Macaca mulatta: one gene and its partner. The protein of the gene in region 2 interacts with the protein of the main gene of each other region in a pairwise test. Links are inferred from orthologs where the notes say so. Each region holds a gene or a part of one and is shown on either strand. Other genes may lie near its edges. The genes, in order: PLLP and MS4A12.

Region 1 (10,074 bases), on a different chromosome or scaffold from region 2:
CTAAGTGGGAATTGTGTGGCCACCCCCAATCCCAGGAGGTGGGGCAAAATGGAAGGACAGAAGGTACCAAACCAAATGGCCTTACTGCCATAGGGCATTCACACAGCTTCCACGTCCTGGGCCTCAAGGGCGCCTACTGACTGACAGGTCTCTGTACAAGCTCTGGTCTGTCCTGATCCTCCTTCTCCCTTCCTATGGCAGGAAGCCGTCTCTGATGGCCTTGGCCCCTGATGAGTCTCCCTTCCTGAAGTCCCCCTTTTACCCCTCCAAAGCACTCTAGAACTTCATACCCCCAAAATAAACAAGATGAGGAAGCATAGCTAGAGTCAGGTTTTGGATTTCCAGATCAAAGTGCAAAGCCAAGCTGTCACTCTATCCTGTGTGACCTTGGACAAGTTCCTCACCCTCTCTGAGCCTATTTACTTATTAATAAATCCAGATAAGATCATCCTTCTCCCCACGGCTTGGGGAGGCTTGAAAAAATAAGAGATGGGCACCTAATAGCACTACTTTATACTTATTGTAAAAAGGCTTTGGGGCCGGGCGCGGTGGCTCACGCCTGTAATCCCTGCACTTTGGGAGGCCGAGGCGGGCGGATCACGAGGTCAGGAGATCGAGACCATCCTGGCTAACACGGTGAAACCCCGTCTCTACTAAAATACAAAAAATTAGCCGGGCGCGGTAGCGGGCGCTTGTAGTCCCAGCTACTCGGGAGGCTGAGGCAGGAGAATGGCGCGAACCTGGGAGGCGGAGCTTGCAGTGAGCTGAGATGGTGCCACTGCACTCCAGCCTGTGCGACAGAGTGAAGACTCCGCCTCAAAAAAAAAAAAAAAAAAAAAAAAAAAAAGACTTTGGGAGCTCCCCTTAAACAAATAACCACGCCTTCTGCATTGTGTGACCTGAGTCACACAAAAATGTATAGCACTGAGGCCTTTTTTTTTTTTAACCAAAAGAGTTGTCTGTAAATCAAACTTGCATGCCTTGTGACATGAATCCACTGGTCAGAAAAAATAAATTAAAAAAAACAAAGACCTGCCTCCTTTTTTAGAGGCTATCTGCATAGATTCTTCGTTTCCCTTTTTGCCTAGGCTGCTAGGAAGTTCAACAAAGAATCAACAGCCTCAAACTTGCTGCAAGTCAATTCTCCCCTCCACACTACCAGCTTTTAAAGACACATTGCTTTAACTCTTCTGTCTTATGTGATTTAATATCATATTCCATTTGGTGTTCTTTCTGAATCTACAAGGAATAAGGATAGTGATAAATCAATGACCACCACCAGACATCTGTGAAGAATACTGAGGCTGGTTCTTCAGGACACATTCTGATGCTGAATGAAAAGTGTATCTCCTTCTCCAGGAGCTGGAGGCTTTTCTACCCACTTCCCCTTCCTCCCAGCACACCAGGAACATTCATCAAATCCTGGGAAACAGAGGGGTCTGATGGGGAATTAGCTTTCATCTTCTCATTTATTTCCTGCTCCATGCAGCCTTCTCCGATCCCTCTGGGAGAAGCACATCCTCTGGGCACCTCTCTCACTGACCAAGAGCTCCTGGAAAGTGGGCACTGGGCCCGGGGTCCCCACCACTCCCTCTATGACAAACCCTGGGAAGGTAGCAGCAAAGCCACATGTGGTCATTAAGACCATGGGCCAGAAAAGTCAGAAAAATCACTCCTGTGAGGAGGGCTGTGAGATCTTGGGCAAAGAACTGACCTCTGAGCCTTAGTTTCCTCACCTGTAAAATGGGGCCGACTAAGAGGATCTAAAGCCCTTGGCAAAGGGCCTGAGCCTAGTGCTGGCCTGATAGATGGGAGCTACGATGGCTTCCCAGCAGATGGCGGTGCCTGTTGGATGAACGCCCACATACCCCATTTCAGACCCAGTAGAACTATCTGTTGCCAGAGAAACAGCTCAGGATGCAGCTTCTCCAACAAGCAGATTTCTCCTTTTTTATTGAGACAGTCTCACTCTGTCGCCCAGGCTGGAGTGCAGTAGCATGATCTCAGCTCACTGCAAGCTCCACCTCCCGGGTTCACACCATTCTCCTGCCTCAGCCTCCCCAGTAGCTGGGACTACAAGTGCCCGCCACCACACCCGGCTAATTTTTTGTATTTTTAGTAGAGATGGGGTTTCACCGTGTTAGCCAGGATGGTTTCGATCTCCTGCATTGTGATCCGCCCGCCTCGGCCTCCCAAAGTGCTGGGATTACAGGCGTGAGCCACCACACCTGGCCCCAACAAGCAGATTTCTAAGGCACTAAAATGTGCAGGTCATTTTCAGAACTCTAATGGGAGACCCTCATCCTCCCAAAGGCACTGCAGGTAGGGAGCAAAAGGAGCCCACTTCCCCTCACACCCAGTCCCTGAGAGTCAAGAGACCCAAGTGCCAAGCTCTATTACAGGACTCCTGGTGAGTCCTTCTACCTAGACCTCAATGTCTACATTTATGTAATGGGACCCAGATGCTCAGGGCTGGATTGCTGAGCCCACAAGGGATGCGCCCCCACCCCCCAATCAGGAAAACAAGCCTTCTCTAGAAGAAGCTACCAAGACCCTTGCAGCCCACAGCAACATCCTCCTCTTACTCCAATGTCTTCCATTCTCCCTATTGTTAGTCTCTTTCTTTCTTTTCTTTTTTTTTGAGACAAAGTCTCATCCACCTAGGCTGGAGTGCAGTGGTGCAATCAAAGTCACGGTAGCCTCGAACTCCCAGGCACAAGCCTCCCAAGTAGCTGAGACCACAGGTACATGCCACCATGCCTGGCTATTTTTTTTTTTTTTTTCCTTTTTTTGTAAAGACAGGGTCTCAATATGTTGCCCAGGCTGGTCTTGAACTTCTGGCCACAAGCAATCCTCCTGTCCGTCAGGGGCCAGCCTCAGGATCCCCCTCACCAGGCATGCTGAGGGATCCCTCACAGGGATCTTGCTGGTCATCATCCTCCACCCAGCAAGATCCCTCTTCTGTTCCAAAACCTCTTAAGGTCACCAACAGACCCTAGACCCTGTGGCTTGCAGAGATTACACAAGGCCCTTGGCTTCTGTCCACATCAGAAACAAGTGCTTCAACTCCAGCACCACCAACCTGTTGGTTACTCCCTGCAAATTAATTCAACTTTCTCATCACTACATCTTCGCTCACACTGTTCCCTGCCCTTGGAACACCCTTTCCCTGCCTCTGCCTCAGATTTCAGTGAAGTCTCTGCTCAAAAAACACCTCCTCCAAGAAGCCTTCCTGGTCGTGGAATTGCTCTCCTCCTCCTCTGCCCTTTTGCACCACTTCTCACACCCACCTGGCTCTCCCCTGGGCAGCCTGGCAGCTGCTCATGGCTGTGCCCCTCACCACCATCTCAGAGCCCAGCACTCCAGCAGTGGCGGGGTCAGTGGCTCTCCCCATCTGCAGAATTAAATCATTCCAGGAACTAGACCTCTTCCCTCAGAAGATAGAATCTTCTCCCCCCCCCCAACAAAAGAGAAACAAACAAAACTCTGGGAGAAGTGTTAAAAATGTAGATTTCTGGCTATACTTCCTGAGATTCAAATTCCAATTGCACATTTTTTCCGGGGGTGGAGTCCAATAATCTAAATTTTAAACAAACCCGCCAGGATGATTAAGAGGCTGCGGAGGGGGCCCACAGAGACCTGAGAAATCCTGAAATGAGATAGCACTGACCCAGGTGGAGGTGGGCCCGCACCTGGAGAGGTCAGCGGAGGGAGACTGGACCTCAGCCCAGCGTCTGGCACCAAAGCGACCACCCTGCCCTCCAGCTCGGGCCTGGCAGCCCTGCTAGCACCCAGCAGTAGGAGACAGTGGGAAATGTCCACTTGCTGGATTGCAAAGGAAAATAGGTCCCGGCCCAACTCCAAATCCACCCGAGTCCTCTGAAAATGTATCAGGCCCTCACCCACCCAGGGTACCCACCCAGCTTCCAGACCCTCACGAAAGGGTGGCAGAAGCAGCAGCTAACATCCGGGCCTGTGGCTGGGAGTGGAGGATGTTCCCATGGGTCCGCCTCAGTTGGGGTCTGTACAGGGCTCTGGGAGAGAGTAGAAGTCTTGCCCCTGGCTACCCACAAACCCCTCCCTCCGGCGCAGGGTGCGATATCTAGGCCCCGTGGGGCTAGCCAAACCAGCTGAAACCTGGCGCGTCACCCAGAGAAAGCTAGAAGAGCCCGGCTCCTGCGCGGGCGCCCACAGTTTAGTGCCTGAGTGTGCGTGTTGGGGGGCCGGATGTGCCCTCTAGATTAGATGAGGAATGTTCTGGGGTGCGGCCACGCGGAGCCGCTGGGAGCAGAAGGTGGTTAGAGAGTGGACTTTGCCTCAGACTGGGTTCCCTGGAGGGCTGGGGGCACTGTCGGGGCAGAAAGAGGGGTGAAAAAGAGAAAGGAGGGAAGGGAGGGGTGGGAAGGGTTGGGGGATTGTGCGCAGTGACTGTGGCTCCAGTGGGGGCTTCTCTGTGGCCGCTGGTAACCACCTTGGAGGGGGCACGATGGGGCACGGGCAGTGGGCACTCTGTACACGGTGCACAGAGTAGGGACGGCCCTACTCTGTAGTGTCACTCGCAGGGACGGCCACGGGGGAGTCTCGTGGTGAGAGGGTTGCAGGGCCATCTTGAGGACGTCCGTGCGGGAAGCGTCCTAGGGGTACGCGCAGCGCTTCGGTGAGCTTGTGAGCCCGGGTGGGGAGCGCAAGGTTCGCGAAGAATGAACGCAGCGCCGGAGTCCCTCACCCATTCCGGCCAGACCAGGAGCCCCCGGCCAGACCCGTGGGCCCGCGCGCGCTCTCACCAGCTGCAGCAGCATGAGCGCCCCGAGGCTGGAGCGCACGAAGCCCAGGTCCGGGCGCAGCGCCGACACCGAGGCCCCGGCGCTCTGCGCAGGACTGCTGGTCCGCGTGCTCACTTTCGACGGGAACTCGGCCATGGCGGCTCCGCTTGCCTCCCGAGGTCGCTCCGGCCGCCGTCGCCGCCCCTCCAGCGGTGGGTGCCGGCTCCCGCGCCGCTCTTCCCCAAGGCTCCCGATCCCGGTGCTGCTCCCGGAGCTGCAGGAGGCGTCGGGGCTGGGAGCCTGGGGCGCCAGGTGCAGCCGAGATCCCAGCCCCGCCCCCGCCACCAGGGCCGCCCCCTTAACCCTTTGCTCGCCGCCGCCGCTCCAGCCGCGACAGGTTCGTGGGCAGCCGCGTCCACTCCCGGGACCAGTAAACAACCCCGGGTCCGTGAATCTGCTCCGCCAGCACCAACCCAGACCGCTTCGCCGGCCTCGCCCGGGGCAAACCGCCTGCTGGGAATTTCCTGGCACTCGCCCAAGCCGTGGTGGCTTCGGCGCCTAGGGATAAACTGGTGATGGCTCGCGGGGGGCACCGCTCTCCCAGGCGCTTCCTGCGCGCTGTGCACCCTCGGCCTAGGCCCTGCGCAGCGACTCTTGGAGAGTCCCGGGGGGGCCGGATGCAGTGGCTCCTGCCTCTGATCCGAGCACTTTGGGAGGCTAAGGTGAAAGGATAACTTCAGGCCAAGAGTTCGAGACCAGCCTGGGTAACACAGTGAGACCCTGTATTTTTTTTTTTTTTCTTTTGAGACAGAGTCTCACTCTGTCGCACAGGCTAGAGTGCAGTGGCGCAATCACGGCTCACTGCAACCTCCACTTCCCAGGTTCAAGTGATTCTCCTGCCTTAGCCTCCCGAGTAGCTGGGACTACAGGCGCGCGCCACCACGCTTGGCTAATTTTTTTTTTTTTTTTTTTTTTTTTTTGTATTTTTAGTAGAGACAGGGTTTCACCATATTGGCCAGGCTGTTCTCGAATTTCTGACCTCATGATCCGCCTACCTCGGCCTCCCAAAGTGCTGGGTTTACAGGCGTGAGCCACCGCGCCCGGCCGCCTTTCTGTAGTTTATAGAAGAGTGTCCCAGGAGACCCCGCTCCCAGGGGTGGGTGCGCAGGAGAAGGGGGAGGTCCTTTTCTGCCTATTAATGCAGTTTTCACTTCTGAACATATTTTATATAACCTAGATGATCGCGGAGCCTCAGTTTCCTCGTCTGTAATATAGATTTGAAGGAAACTTAACCTCACAGAGCGTTGTAGAGAGTAAATGAAATATTCCGTAGAAAGTTCCTGACAGCATGAGGGAGGAGGGGTCACTCAGGTGGGAGGTCATATCGAGGTTACAGTTTCATTGCCACACATGCACCCTAAAATCCTTAGACATATACACACACACACACACACCCCTTGAGCCTACAGGTTTGCACAGATAGGTCATTCATGCATTCATCAACCAATGTTTGCTGAACACCTACTACATGCCAGGCCCTGTGGAAACGAACTAGACAAGACCTTCTTGGCTCCCACATTTTTTTTCCCCAAATACCTACACTTCAAGGAGAGCCACTTAAAAAATTGTTTTTAATTGACATGTAATATTAGGTTGGTGGAAAAGTTATTTTGTTTTTTTGCATTTAAAAGTAATAGCAAAAACCGCAATTACTTTTGCAGCAACCTATTATTGTACCTAGATGTGGAGTACCATGTGATGTTTTGGTACCTGTGTACATTGTGTAAAAAATCAAATCAAGGTACTTAGCATATCCATCACCTCATACATTTATGGCTTCTTTGGGGTGAGAACATTCAAAATCCCCACTTCTAGCTACTGTATTTTGAAATATACAATACTAGGGCCAGGTGCGGTGGCTCACGCCTATAATCCCATCACTTTGGGAAGCCAAAGCGGGGAGATCACCAAAGGTCATGAGTTCGAGACCATCCTGGTCAACATGGTGAAACCCTGCGTCTACAAAAATATAAAAAAATTAGCCAGGCAGGATGGCGGGTGCCTGTAGTCCCAGCTACTCGGGAGGCTGAGGCAGGAGAATCACTTGAACCCAGGGAGGTTGCAGTGAGCCGAGATCGTGCCACTGCACTCCAGAGCCTGGGTGACAGAGCAGGACTCCATGTAAAAAAAAAAAAAAAAAAAAAGAAATGTGCAATATTGGTAGTTTTTACTTTTTCCTTTTATTTATTTTGAGGTGAGGTCTCACTCTGTCACCCAGGCTGGAGGGCAGTGGCATGATTATAGCTTACTGCAGCCTCCAACCCCCAGGCTCAAGCGATCTTCTCACCTCAGCCTCCCTAGTAGCTAAGACTACTGATGCATGCCACCAAGCCCAGCTAATTTTTTTTTTTTTTTGAGATGGAGTCTTGCTGGAATTACAGGCTTAAGCCACCACGCCCGGCTAACTTTTTGTATCTGTAGTAGAGACTGGGTTTCAACATGTTGGCAAGGCTGGTCTTAAACTCCTGACCTGGTGATCTGCCCATCTCGGCCTCCCAAAGTGGTGGGATTACAGGCATAAGCCACCGAACCCAGTCCCAACTAAGTTGTAAAAAATTTTTTGTAGAGATGGGGTCTCACTATGTTGCCCAGACTGGTTTCACACTCCTGGCCTCAAGTGATCCACCCGCCTTGACCTTCCAAAGTGCTGGAATTACAGGTGTGAACCACCATGCCCAGCCCTAACTGTAATTTTGTACCTGTTAACCAATCTGTCTCTATCCTCCCACTACACCCCAGCCTCCTGTAACCACTATTCTACTCTACTATGAGATCGATTTATTTATTTATTTATTTATTTATTTGAGGTGGCGTTTTGCTCTTGTTGCCCAGGCTCGAGTGCAGTGGCGTGACCTCGGCTCACTGCAACCTCTGCCTCCCAGGTTCAAGCGATTCTCTTGCCTCAGCCTTCTGAGTAGCTGGGATAACAGGCGCCCGCCAGCACACCCAGCTAATTTTTTTGTAATTTTAGTAGAGACAGGGTTTCACCATGTTCACCAGACTAGTCTCAAACTCCTGAAATCAGGTGAACCGCCCGCCTCGGCCTCCCAAAGTGCTGGGATTGATTATAGGCGTGAGCCACTGCACCTGGCCGAGATCAACTTCTTTATTTCATTCCACATATATGAGAGACTATGTGGTGTTTGTCTTTCTATGCATGGCTTATTTTACTCTCATGATGTCCTCCAGGTTCATCTGTGTTGCCACAAATGACAGGATTTCAGTCGTTGGATCCCACTGTCTGATGGGGATGAGAAGTAATAAACCAGGGAGGAATAATACTTTCAGATAGTGACAAATGCTGTGACTAAAGTAAAATGGGGGAATGTGACACAGAGTCACCCACAGGTGATTTCTGGGTTAAGGTGGTCAAGAAAGACCTGTGGGAAGAGGTGACATTTATGCAGAGACCCAAATCATGAGTAGGGGCTAGCCTTGGGAAATCTGGGGGAAGAATTTAATAAGTGCAGGAGCCCTGAGGCTGGACCAGTTTTGAGAACAGAAAAAGGTCCTTGGTGGGGCTACAGCCAAGTGAGTAAGGGTGAGATCGGCAACATGGGCCAGGGCCAGATCACACAGGGCTATTTAGAGGGTTGTATTAGTGCCCTGTGGCTGCTATAAGTTGCCATGAACTTGGTGACTTAAAACAACAGAAATGTGGCCAGGCATGGTGGCTCATGCCTGTAATCCCAGCACTTTGGGAGGCTGAGGCAGGCGGATCACCTGAGGTCAGGAGTTAGAGACCAGCCTGGCCAACATGGCGAAACCCTGTTTCTACTAAAAATACAAAAAATTAGCCAGACATGGTGGTGCACGCCTGTAATCCCAGCTACTCGGGGGGAGGCTGAGGCAGGAGAATCACTTGAACCTGGGAGGCAGAGGTTGCAGTGAGCCGAGATGGAGCCATTGCACTCCAGCTTGGGCAACAAGAGTGAAACTGTCTCAAAAAAAAAAAAAAGAAAGAAAGAAAAGAAAAGAAAAGAAAAACCAGAAATTTACTCTCCCATAGTTCTGAGGCCAGAAGTCTGAAATCAGTTTCACTGAGCCAAAATCTTCCAAAACTTGGGAAAAGCCAAAATCAGGTGTCCCAAGGGTCATGCTCCCTTTGCAGGGTCTAGAGGAGAATCCTATCCTTGTTCTTCCAACCCTGGTGGGTGCTGCTGGCACTCCTCAACCTATGACTGCATCGACCCTGTCTCTGCCTCCTACTTCACATGGCCTCCTCCTCTTCTGTATGTATAACATCTTTGTCTGCCTCTCTTATAAGGACACTTATGATTGGGTTAGGGCCACCCAGATACTCCAGGATAGTCTTCCCCAAATACAGAATCTTAATTTGAGACTGGGCATGGTGGCTCATGCCTGTAAACCTAGCACTTTGGGAAGCCAAGGCAGGAGGATGGGTTTGGCTCAGGAGTTCGAGACCAGCCTGGGCAACATAGCAAAGACCCCTGTCTCTAAAAAAAAAAAAAAAAAAATTGACAGGGTGTGGTGGTGCACACCTGTGGTCCCAGCTACTCAGGAGGCTGAGGTAGGAGGATTGCTTAAGCCCCAGGAGATTGAGGCTACAGTGAGTCATGTTTTTGCCTCTGCATGTTTTTGCGCTCTGCAAGGTGACAGAGCAAGACCCTGTTTCAAAAGGAAAAAAAAAAGAAAAGGAATCTTAATTTAGTCACTTAATCTGTAAAGACCTTATTACTTTATAAGGTGAGATGGACTGGTTCCAAGAATTAGGATCTGTTTTGTTCATTTGTTTGTTTGAGACAGAGTCTTACTCTGTTGCCCAGGCTGGAGTGCAATGGTGCCATCTCGGCTCACTACAACTTCCGCCTCCAGGGTTCAAGCAATCCTCCTGCCTCAGCCTCCTGAGTAGCTGGGACCACAGGTCCTTGAGCCACCATGACTGGCTATTTTTTGTATTTTTTGTAAAGACTGGGTTTCACCATGATGCGCAGCTGGTCTCGAACTTGAGCTCAGGCAATCCTCCTGCCTTGACCTCCCAAAGTGCATGAGCCACTTATATCTTTTAGTGGCTATTATACAGCCTACCACAATGATGGAGAAGGGCTAACATTTTATTTTAAGGCCTGGAGTGTTTTGTTGTTGTTGTTGTTTTTTAGATGGAGTCTCGCTCTGTCGCCCTTGCTGGAGTGCAGTGGCGCGATCTTGGCTCACTGCAAGCTCCGCCTTCTGAGTTCACGCCATTCTCCTGCCTCAGCCTCAGCCTCAGCCTCCGGAGTAGCTGGGACCA
Region 2 (9,974 bases):
GCCTCCTGATATGGTTTGACTCTGTGTCCCCACCCAAATCTCATCTTGTAGCTCCCATAATTCCCACTTGTTGTGGGAGGAACCTGGTGGGAGATGATTGAATTATGAGGGCGGGTCTTTCCCATGCTATTCTTGTGATAGTGGATGGGTCTCATGAGATCCGATGGTTTTAAAAAACAGGAGTTTCCCTGCACAAGCTCTATTTTTTTTTTGCCTGCCCCTATTCATATAAGACATGATTTGCTCCTCCTTGCCTTCTGCCATGATTGTGAGGCCTCCCCAGCCGTATGGAACTCTAAGCTCGTTAAACCCCTTTTTTTTCCCCCAGTCTTTGGTATTTCTTTATCAGCAGTGTGAAAACAACTGAATATACCTTCTTATATAAGCTTTTCCTTATGCTGCAAACAGTGTTGTCCTTTGCAAGCACAAAAGTGATCATTCAAATTCCTGACCTAAAACTCTTCTACGTTTTTAACAAAGAAGGATTGTCTCAGAACTTGGTGGAAAAGGAGTGTGCCAGCAATTCAAACTATTGACACTTCAAAGAACATACTCTAGGGGACAGGCATCTGATGGGAGTGCTTAGACAACTTTCAGATTATACCAACGGTTGGAGTCAGGATTTCAGAACCCTTTAGTTGAGAAGCAGATGGCTTCATAAGCCTGCCACTCTGAGATCACGTGGAACAGAATTACTTACACAGTACTGAGTGAACTGATAAGGGAAATGTTATTGTGTTTATTTGTTCAAAATATTGTGATATTGTCTTAATGTTAACATGTTCTTGATATACAAGGAAGTCATTCTGTGTCTTTCTTAAGATATATGTATCCCACAGTAATTTAATAAACTCTGCTTTTTGTAAACTGAAAAGCAAAAGCAAAACCAACCCCAACATAAAATAAAACAAAACCTATAAAACCACTCTTCTGTGGTTTTCCATTGCTCACAGAACGAAGACCAAACTTCTTAATTGGCCACTGAGGTAGAATGACAGCTTCCAGTCCAACCTCATTTTATACCGTGTTCCTCCATTCCTTATAGATGGTAAGCATTCCTGCCCTCGGGCCACCCATTTCCTCCTAAGGTCGGAGTCCATGCTTGGCTGTATAAGGCTAATGAATGTGTGATTCTGTTTTGAGCACATTCAGAGGCATGTGCTTCATTTTGCAATTGCTTCATTCCTTGGGTTTCTCTGTAAAAATCGGATGTTCTCATCCCTGTCATTTACCTCTCACTTCATACTTTACTCTGAAGTTTAACCAAAAACACTCAATAGCTTGACTACCTTATTTATATAGAATTTCAAATGTTGGGAAAATAATTTTTGGACAATTTTAGAAACCCTTCCCCATTGTTCATGTGATTGACAGTGAGATGGGCCAATAAAGGATGTCCTTTAAGCCTCCGTCTATCTGTAGAGGTAACCCTCTCACTTTATTCTATAGTCCTAGAGATCATATGACTAGGGGTGGGGCTAGAATAGAAAAAAGATTTTCCATTAGAGCTGGTGTATGGTATTAAGAGATAAAACATAGACCCACTTTACAGGACTGAAAAGAGAGCAAGCACATGATGGATTATGGGATACTTACCACGGCCCAATAGTCTTGGTTAGGTGTCCCATTGATGCACATATCCACCACCAGCAGAATCACTCCAATGAAGGCAAAGATAGAACTAACAATGTTCATTCCCAGGCTGCCTTTCACCTAGTGGAGATGGCAGGCAAAAATCAATTATATACAGGATCACTGAAGTTAAATGAAATAAGAATCAATCAAATTTCATGGTTCTTAATTTTTGAACTTTCAAAACAATTTTTCAAGTTGAAATTATTCTGTTTTCTGCCCTTCTGGGTAATTACTATAAACATTATTCTGTATGCAGCCTAGATGTAGGGTACTTGTAAAAAGCTGTAGAAAAATGTAAATCATATAAAGCAGGCACTCATCTATTGTATTTTACTAAAAGCCTCATGCACAATAACAACTATATTTTCTTTATAAACAATGAAAAAACTTCTAATGAGCATTTTTCTGTGGCAGACACTGTGTTAAATTATTTAAATTATCTCACTTAACTCTTACAGCTTTTGTATGAGGTGGTATGATAGCATCTGATTTTATAGATGGCAAGGTATTTAGACACAACATGTTTGCTGAAAAATTTAGGAATTAATGAAAACCCTAAGTCTCTCTAGGAACTAAATATGCACCCCCAAATTTAGAAGGAGAAACTCTTCAAGCTTTTGTGGGCAAAGGTGTATGGGTGACTACAAATCTTTCCCCAGTTTCTACAATAGGATTTTAACATGCAGAAGAATAATTGTGAAAGCAGATCTGCAGCTGACTTGCTAGGGGTGGCGTAGTTGAATTCTTTAGAATGTGCTTGTACTGCAGCATGCCTTAGAGCCTCCTGATGGTCTCTGAAAGCTCTTAGAAAAATTGTCTTAGGTAAGTGTCAGTGGCTGTCTCCTCTGAGAGGATGGAATCTATGCTTGGACAATCTCAATTAGAGGGAAGGATCCTTAAAGGATGCAGAGAAAGGGTGCTTTATTTTGTTTTTGGACTACAACAGGAGTGGTTAATCAGAATTAGGCTTATTTTATTTTATTTTATTTTGATTTAATTATTTTATTCTTGTTTTGTCTGGAAGAGCATGAGCTATACACTACTGTGTTCCTCTTTCCCCATTCTTCCCTCTTGTGCTGGATTACATATAATTTTGACACCACCTCTGCTCTAGTTGACTGTAATTCATGGTAAATCACTTTCTTTTTCCTGGTTCAATAGTAGACTAGGAAATTGCAATAGGTGGGGTGCTGTGACCAACAGAACTCAAGGTCCCATCTTACTGATCATTTTTATAAACTCTTCTTACGGAACAGGCTAGATTCATTTAATGGCAGTTTAAAGAATTGTAAAACACACACCCAATCTTGAGTAAGAGTAGGAAAGACGCAAAAATGTGAAAATAAAAATACAAGACAGAGCTGAGAAGTGGCAAATTAACAGTAGAGACTTGGTAACTGATGTGGCTAGTAGGTATTTCCTGGCTCCTGGATTCTCCTTTGGACTTCCCATAATAGAGTGTGACCTGACTGAACCAGGGAGCTTTCAGGTTAAAGCTTAAACGACCCTGATCTTTACTACTTCTCACCCTTGTCAGTTCAAGAGTCAGGATGTGGAACTCTGCCATTTCTTAGTGGCAGACTGTGTGGACCACTCTCCTACCCGAGCGCTCAGACCATGAGGCAACCAATAGATTTTTTTTGGGAAAAGTGCTCTCTTTTGCATTTCCCAAATCCAGCTTTTCAATTTTCCTACCCAGTATGTTAAGCTAATCATTAAAGGGGTTCAAAAAGCAGAAACAGTCTAACTTACCAGACAGGAGGAAAGCTCCTCAGATGCTGACACAGAAAGAGAGCCAGAGATAATGAACTGTGGAAATGGACAAATTTAGTTGAGAAATGGGTTAACTGGTTGTGCTTGGGAGTTTCTCTTTATACAAAAGGTTGATCTATTTACGTTCATCTAGCTTCCTTCTCAAAATTTTCTCTTGCACTTCTAAATTTTCTGGGTAACTCTCAGGCATGTATGTTCTTGACTTCTTTTTTATTGTTTTCTCCTTAATTTCTGGCCTATGAGGAACTCGTAATGTCTAAGCATTCCTTGTTCTGAGGCTTACGCTCCATCCCTTCTCATAATCAATTGCATTTTTTTAATTAAAAAAAATTTTTTTAGAGGTTGGGCCTCACTATATTCCTCAGACTGGCCTCAATCTCTTGAACTCAAGCAATTCCCCGGCCTCAGCCTCCCAAGTAGCTGGGACTACAATCACACACCACTATGCCTGACTTACTTGCATATTTTTAATCATGTTTCCAATCACCTTTTTTTTTTTTCTCTCTCTCTCCACCCAATACATACATTTCCATCTCAAATGTAGTAGGAAACCAAAACTTTGGCTTGCTGGTTACATGATTACATTTTAAAGAATGGAATAAGCTCCTATATAAAATGGTGAACAAGTTCCCGATATTTTTATGCTCGTTCAGAGCTGTTAATTTTTCTAAATTCTCCAGCCCTCAGATGTAGGGCTTTATCAAGAAATGAATTGTGAATTGGCTGGAGATATCAATACTTTATAAACCAAGAAGGAGTGGTGTTCTAGCAATCTACTCACAGAAAGGCCACCCCAGAACGGGTATCCACCAATAACAGCAGTAGAGGCAAAACCGAATACTCCTCTATAAGAGAATGATGTTAAACACAAAATAATTCCAAAACCAAGGTGCATCAATCCAACCATGATCTGGATTACCTGAAAAAAGAAAACAACCATTTTAAAATTACTTCTTCACTTTCAGACGTGTGAAACGTTACTGTCATTGCTGCCCCTGCTTATTGATTGTCAATTTTGCTGAGATCCATGGTTGTCATTCAGGCACGCATCTGAAGCAGGAGGTGGGCCATGAAGATTCTGACATACACTAGAATAACTGGAGTGTAGGTAGCCCTTAGTGAAGCGCCTTGTTTTGAGGTATTTGGGGAGACTTATTGGGGTGGCCCAGGAAGAATTCTTCAGAAAGTACAGCTGCTTAATCATGTGTTAGTATCTCTGAAGGCCTCTAAAAGACTATTAGAAAAAAAATACTTTAACTGTGATGTCAGTAGTTGCTTTTTCAGATGGATCAGTTCTCTGCTTGGGTCATCCCAGTTACGGGTAAAGGGACTGGTGAAGATAAAACCATTTATAAGGCATGAATTATGTGCTTAGTCATGTTCTGAACACTTTACATTTATTGTTTCATGTAGTCCTCCCACAATTGGATTGAGTCCCAGAGACATAAAGACATGTGAGACCTTGTATCCAAGGTCATGCAATTCCTGAGGGGCAGATCTGGGAATTTACCGCAGCACATTGACTGCTGAGCCTGTCTGAACTATTCAGTACTGTCTTCCCCCATGCTCAGCTCTGCTCTACCTCTTCCATGAAGCCCTCTTGATTACACCAAATTAATCTTTTTTCTTTTTTTCTAAATTTCTGTTGCATCTCATGACATAAAACACACCTTGTTACTTGATTTTGTATTCATTGATATTGTTCTCTTTTAAAAAGTTGCAGGTGTGCAATCATTTTCTTACCATTCTTCTTACCAATCATATATTACTAAAAGTAAGGTATGCATCTTTTAGCTCCTTGTACCTCTTATTGAACCTTCCTTCACTGTAAATAAAGATAGATTTCTGAGGAATAACCATTTCTAGATTGGTCCAAAAGTTGACTGTAGATTTGTCATTTATTTTTCCCCATGTTTACACCTTATCTATCCAGGAAGACTGCAAATACAAAGACTGCTGTATTTATTCAATAAAAAGCTACTGAACACAAGTAAATTGAATTAAAATAAAAAAACCCAGTTTTATAAACAATGCTAACAGTTTCTTGAGACTTTGATAAAAACCGTGAACCTTTCTCCCTAAAAAATTATTCTTGCACCTCCATACACACACATACCATACTTTTGCATATAGTTTCAGAGGCATGATGGGCCTCCTTTAGCCTATCTCACTTAAAGAACTCCTGTATTAGACTTTATATTTGGTTTTTACAACTCTTCTTTAGAGCAGCAATTTAGCCATCTGGCCACAAACTTCCCATCCTCATCCTTGCTGTCACCTTGATGAGGGACAGTTAGATCTGGATTTGTACTGGCCCTCATTTCTCCTCCTACAGCCCTGGCTGTACCATTTACTGATGAAAATTGCCTATAGGACACACTTAAAAATTTGGACATACAATTTGTCTGCATTTGTGGACACAGAAGCACTTTAAGGTCTGAGTTGACTGGTACAGGTGTGCCACGTCCTGCCACCTGTGGCCCCTGCACTGTCGTGATGCCTGGGGCCTGCTGATGGTATAGAAATAACAATCTTCAGAGAGAGGAAGTAGCTTCTGCCAACTGGAGCTTTAAACAAAACTTCATAGTCTTTTAAAGTATTTTTATCACACGCCTTTTTGGTGCCAGGCAGCGTGATTCAGTGGTTCGTCATCCACTTAGTCAAAGCCAAAGCCTTCTGCTCTGCAGGCCTCACCAGCTGTGGCCTCTGCCACTCCTCTGCCCTCCTGACAACTGCTCCCTCCCTCCCTCATTCTGTTCTATTTTATTGGCCTTCTCCCTGTTTTTCAAATACATCACAGATATTTTCATCTAAAGACTTTTACACTGGTTGTTTTCACTTTCCCTGATATCTGCACGGCTCACTCCTAACTTCAGGTTTTTGCTCAAATGTCATGTTCTAAGGAAAGCCCATTCTGACCGCCTTGAAATTGCTGCCTCCTCACTGTCTGGTACTTTTTAGCCCTTTTACACTTCTTTGTTTTGTCCATATCATTCGACACCTTCTAATACACTAAGTACTTTACTTCCTTCTTATGTTTACAGTCTGATTTCCCCCACTAGGGCAAAAGTTCTGTAAAGGCAGAGATTGCACCTGCTTTGTACTCGGTGATATATTCCAAGCACCTATGTGGGGTTGGCTGTATGGGGGGTTTGTCCCATTGGCTTATTAGAAGTGGGGAATTTCCTCTATCTGGGAGGAGGAGGATCAGAAGGGCCACCTCCACAGCTTAGTAAATAGGCTGCTGCAAGAGAACTTAGGCTCATTTTTACTTCCCTAAAACATCACAACTTGAAATAGGTAGTAAGATGACTAGAAGATTTTCTGGCACATAATGAGCATTCATTTACGGAATGCTCCAGCAGAGAATTTCAAGCTATTCACAGGGAGAGACTTAATATAGTTTGGTGGAATTGTACTAGCGGGATGAATGAGGTATTTGGAAAGCACAGCGAAGGGAGTAACAATTCTACCTAGGCAGGTGGAATTTTCTTACAAATAGGGCATTTTTGTTTTTACAATGCCTACAGAAACAAGGTGGTCAGTTCAGAGTCTCCTTTGTAGAAATAAGATGACAGTTACGCTGTAGCATCTCTAAGGATATTGGCGAGAGAGGCACAACAGATGGAACGTCCCCCAATTCTTTCACACTCAGCCTTTCCCAGACTGCCCATTTGTAGTTTCCTTTTCTGGAGGCAGCCATCAATGTTCATTTTTATGTAAATTCACCTTTATGCAAATACCTGACTTGTAACCAATCTGGAGACGAGATTGAGATTGTCCAAAAAGTCCTTTGAAGAAATGAGATCAAGCTAGATGTAGTAGAGTTTCCGTCATGTCAATATTACCAAATCCTCCAGCTAGGGAGGCTCCTCTGTCTCCTGTTATATTTTTGCTTGATCTAAAATGAAATGAACTCAAGGGAAAGTCTATAGGCAGACTAAATATTTCTGTCTAAAAGGGATAGTTTCAGAATAACATTCAAAACTTTTTAGCAATTGGATGATATTCTCTTCTCCTATAACTTATAAGAAGACCTTGCAAATGTGAGTTTAAAATTCTAGTAGTAAGTAGACTTACCCCTAGTACCTTTGCTTCTTCTTTAAAGTTTATTACTGCTCTTCCCACGCTTGGATTTATCATTTGTGTATTTCCTTGACCTGGTTGACTGACAGCAGAGGTTCCTGGAGATGTGATGAAGTAGGGCTGAGCACTCTGAGCACCCTGAGCTTGGTTTTCTAAGTTGATTGAACCCGGAGGCTGTTGAGATCCAGGAGCCGTAAAGCTGCTTGGTGGGTAGTAAGGGTTGGGTGTGGTTTCATATACTCCAGCATGGCTTGTTGGCTTGGATGACACCATGATGTCCTAAGTATCACAAAACATACCAAAGTGATACGTTTATCCAGAAAAGAAACTAAAGAAAATCTTACCAAATATCAAATGTCAATTATCTATGATAATGGAGAGAGCAAGTGACAGATAATGGTCCATAACATCTGATAGAAACATGATTCTCATAAATCCCCAACCCCCAGGCCAAGGACTGGTACCCGTCGGTGGTCTGTTGGAAATCTGGCCACACTACATGAGGTAAGCAGCGGGCAAGCATTACTGCCTGTGCTCTGCCTCCTATCAGATCAGCACGGCATTGGATTCTCATAGCAGCGTGAACCCTGCTGTGAACTGCACATGCTGGGGATCTAGGTTGCATGCTCCTTATGAGACTCTAATGCCTGATGATCTGAGGTGGAACAGTTTCATCCCGGACCCATCTCTCATTAGAGAGATGCTATGCTGCTGATTGTGAAGATGGAGGAAGGCGTCCATGAATCAAGGAATGTGGGTCACCTCTAGAAGCTGGATGAAACAAGGAAACAGATTCTTCCTAGAGTCTCCAGGAAGGAACCTGACTCTACTGACACCTTGACCTTAGTCTAGTGAGCTGGTATGGCACTTCTGACCTACACAACTGTCAGATAAAATAATATATTGTTTTAGGCCACTGTGTTTGTGGTAGTTTGTTATATCAAGAAATAGAAAACTAATACAGGGGCCAAGTAATACAATACTTGTATGGCAAAGAGGGCAGTCCAAGATTGAAATTATTTGCCAGTAATTGGGAAACTAGATGGTTCACATATGCCCATTTAAGATGATTCTCCTGTTCTTTAGGAAAAATGCTCTTACTCATTTCTGTCCTTCTGAAAGCTTAGAGCATCTCAGGCCCCATGTAGCCAAGGGAAATTTTGTTGGAAATAAGCCAATACAACTGGATATAGACAACAATGACTATTAATTCTTGAAAAAAAATTATGACACTTAAAAAATTTGTCATTAGCCTTAGATTCCTTTTTTTGAGGTCTTCTCAAATAATTTTTCATGTACTTATGAGTATCAAGAAAGTTACAGTGATGAATGTCTCATTCTTGGTATGAAGTATGAATACTATGAATAACCTATTGGTACAGTGTTTCACTGGTATCTAACAGGGACACATATTCAGACCCTGTGCTCATGGAATCCAGAAATTTTAGGGTAGGAAAGACCCTTTCCATTTATCCTGTCTCATTCCCCTTCATTTACAGATGAGAAATTGAAGCTGAGTCAAGTTAAGTGACATGCTCAAGGTTACATAGAAAACGTGTGGCAGAGTTAGGACTTGAAAATGGGATTCTTGGCTGTTGGTTCAGAATCCCCCTCCACCCCCAGTCATCCATACAGCATCACTCTGGACATTTGCAGCTTGTTTTCCAGGCCAGCCTTGGTGACAGGGTATTGACTCTGCTCCTGCAACTGCCCAACAACAAAACTTCTGTCTTTGATGCCATAGAGAGGAGTTTATAAACCAGATTAACTTCTTAGTGACTAAGTAATTAAGTTAGTAAGGATTCTCTTTAGCAAGCTTTAGTCGAGGTGTGTAGAGAGCTAACCTTTATTAAAGACTTATTGTAGGCACAGTAGGGTCTGTATAGTGTCATGTTTAGGAAGATGAACTTGGGATCTAACCCCAACTTTGTGTCTTCGGCAAGTTCGTTAACCTCTCTTTGCCTCTGTTTTCTGTCTGTAAAATAGAGCTAAAAAGACTACCTTCCTTAGAGAGTCAGTTTGAGTATTAAAGAGTTATTCTGGGCAAAGTATGTAGGACTGTGCCTATTCCAACCACAGGGGTTGGCTCTGTTATCGCTATGTTAAGTGCATGAGATACATTATCTCTGTACCCTTTACAGAACCCCATGAGGTAGGTACTCTACTAATATCCCCATTTCACAATGAGAGGATTTAATCCAGAACCTGCACTCATAACCCTTACTCTCCGATGCTAGATGCAACTGAAAATGGTTGAAAACTCAATGAAAAGGGAGAAAACACCTTTCTGAAATATCTGATGACAAAGGGATTTTATTTTTTTTCCAAAATGGAAACACGTCCGGCACTTTAGGAGGCCGAGGCGGGTTGATCACGAGGTCAGGAGATCGAGACCATCCTGGCTAACTGTGAAACTCCATCTCTACTAAAAATCCAAAAATAAATAAATAAATAAATAAAATTAGCCAGGCCTGGTGGTG

The links.
Region 1: the proteins of MS4A12 (region 2) and PLLP interact in binary tests that used the Homo sapiens proteins (3 or more experiments, as listed by UniProt). The two-hybrid records come from large-scale screens. The link is inferred for Macaca mulatta from reciprocal best matches to the Homo sapiens genes MS4A12 and PLLP.

The regions. Positions count from the first base shown.
Region 1 is NC_133425.1:52,888,420-52,898,493, forward strand, and holds the start of PLLP (plasmolipin), read right to left. Parts: upstream 5,052-10,074; 5' UTR 4,920-5,051; coding exon 4,785-4,919; intron 1-4,784. UniProt on the Homo sapiens protein: Main component of the myelin sheath that plays an important role in myelin membrane biogenesis and myelination. Plays an essential function in apical endocytosis. Regulates epithelial development through the regulation of apical endocytosis.
Region 2 is NC_133419.1:13,527,024-13,536,997, forward strand, and holds part of MS4A12 (membrane-spanning 4-domains subfamily A member 12), read right to left. Parts: intron 7,774-9,974; 5' UTR 7,768-7,773; coding exon 7,489-7,767; intron 4,328-7,488; coding exon 4,190-4,327; intron 3,445-4,189; coding exon 3,388-3,444; intron 1,714-3,387; coding exon 1,597-1,713; intron 1-1,596. UniProt on the Homo sapiens protein: May be involved in signal transduction as a component of a multimeric receptor complex.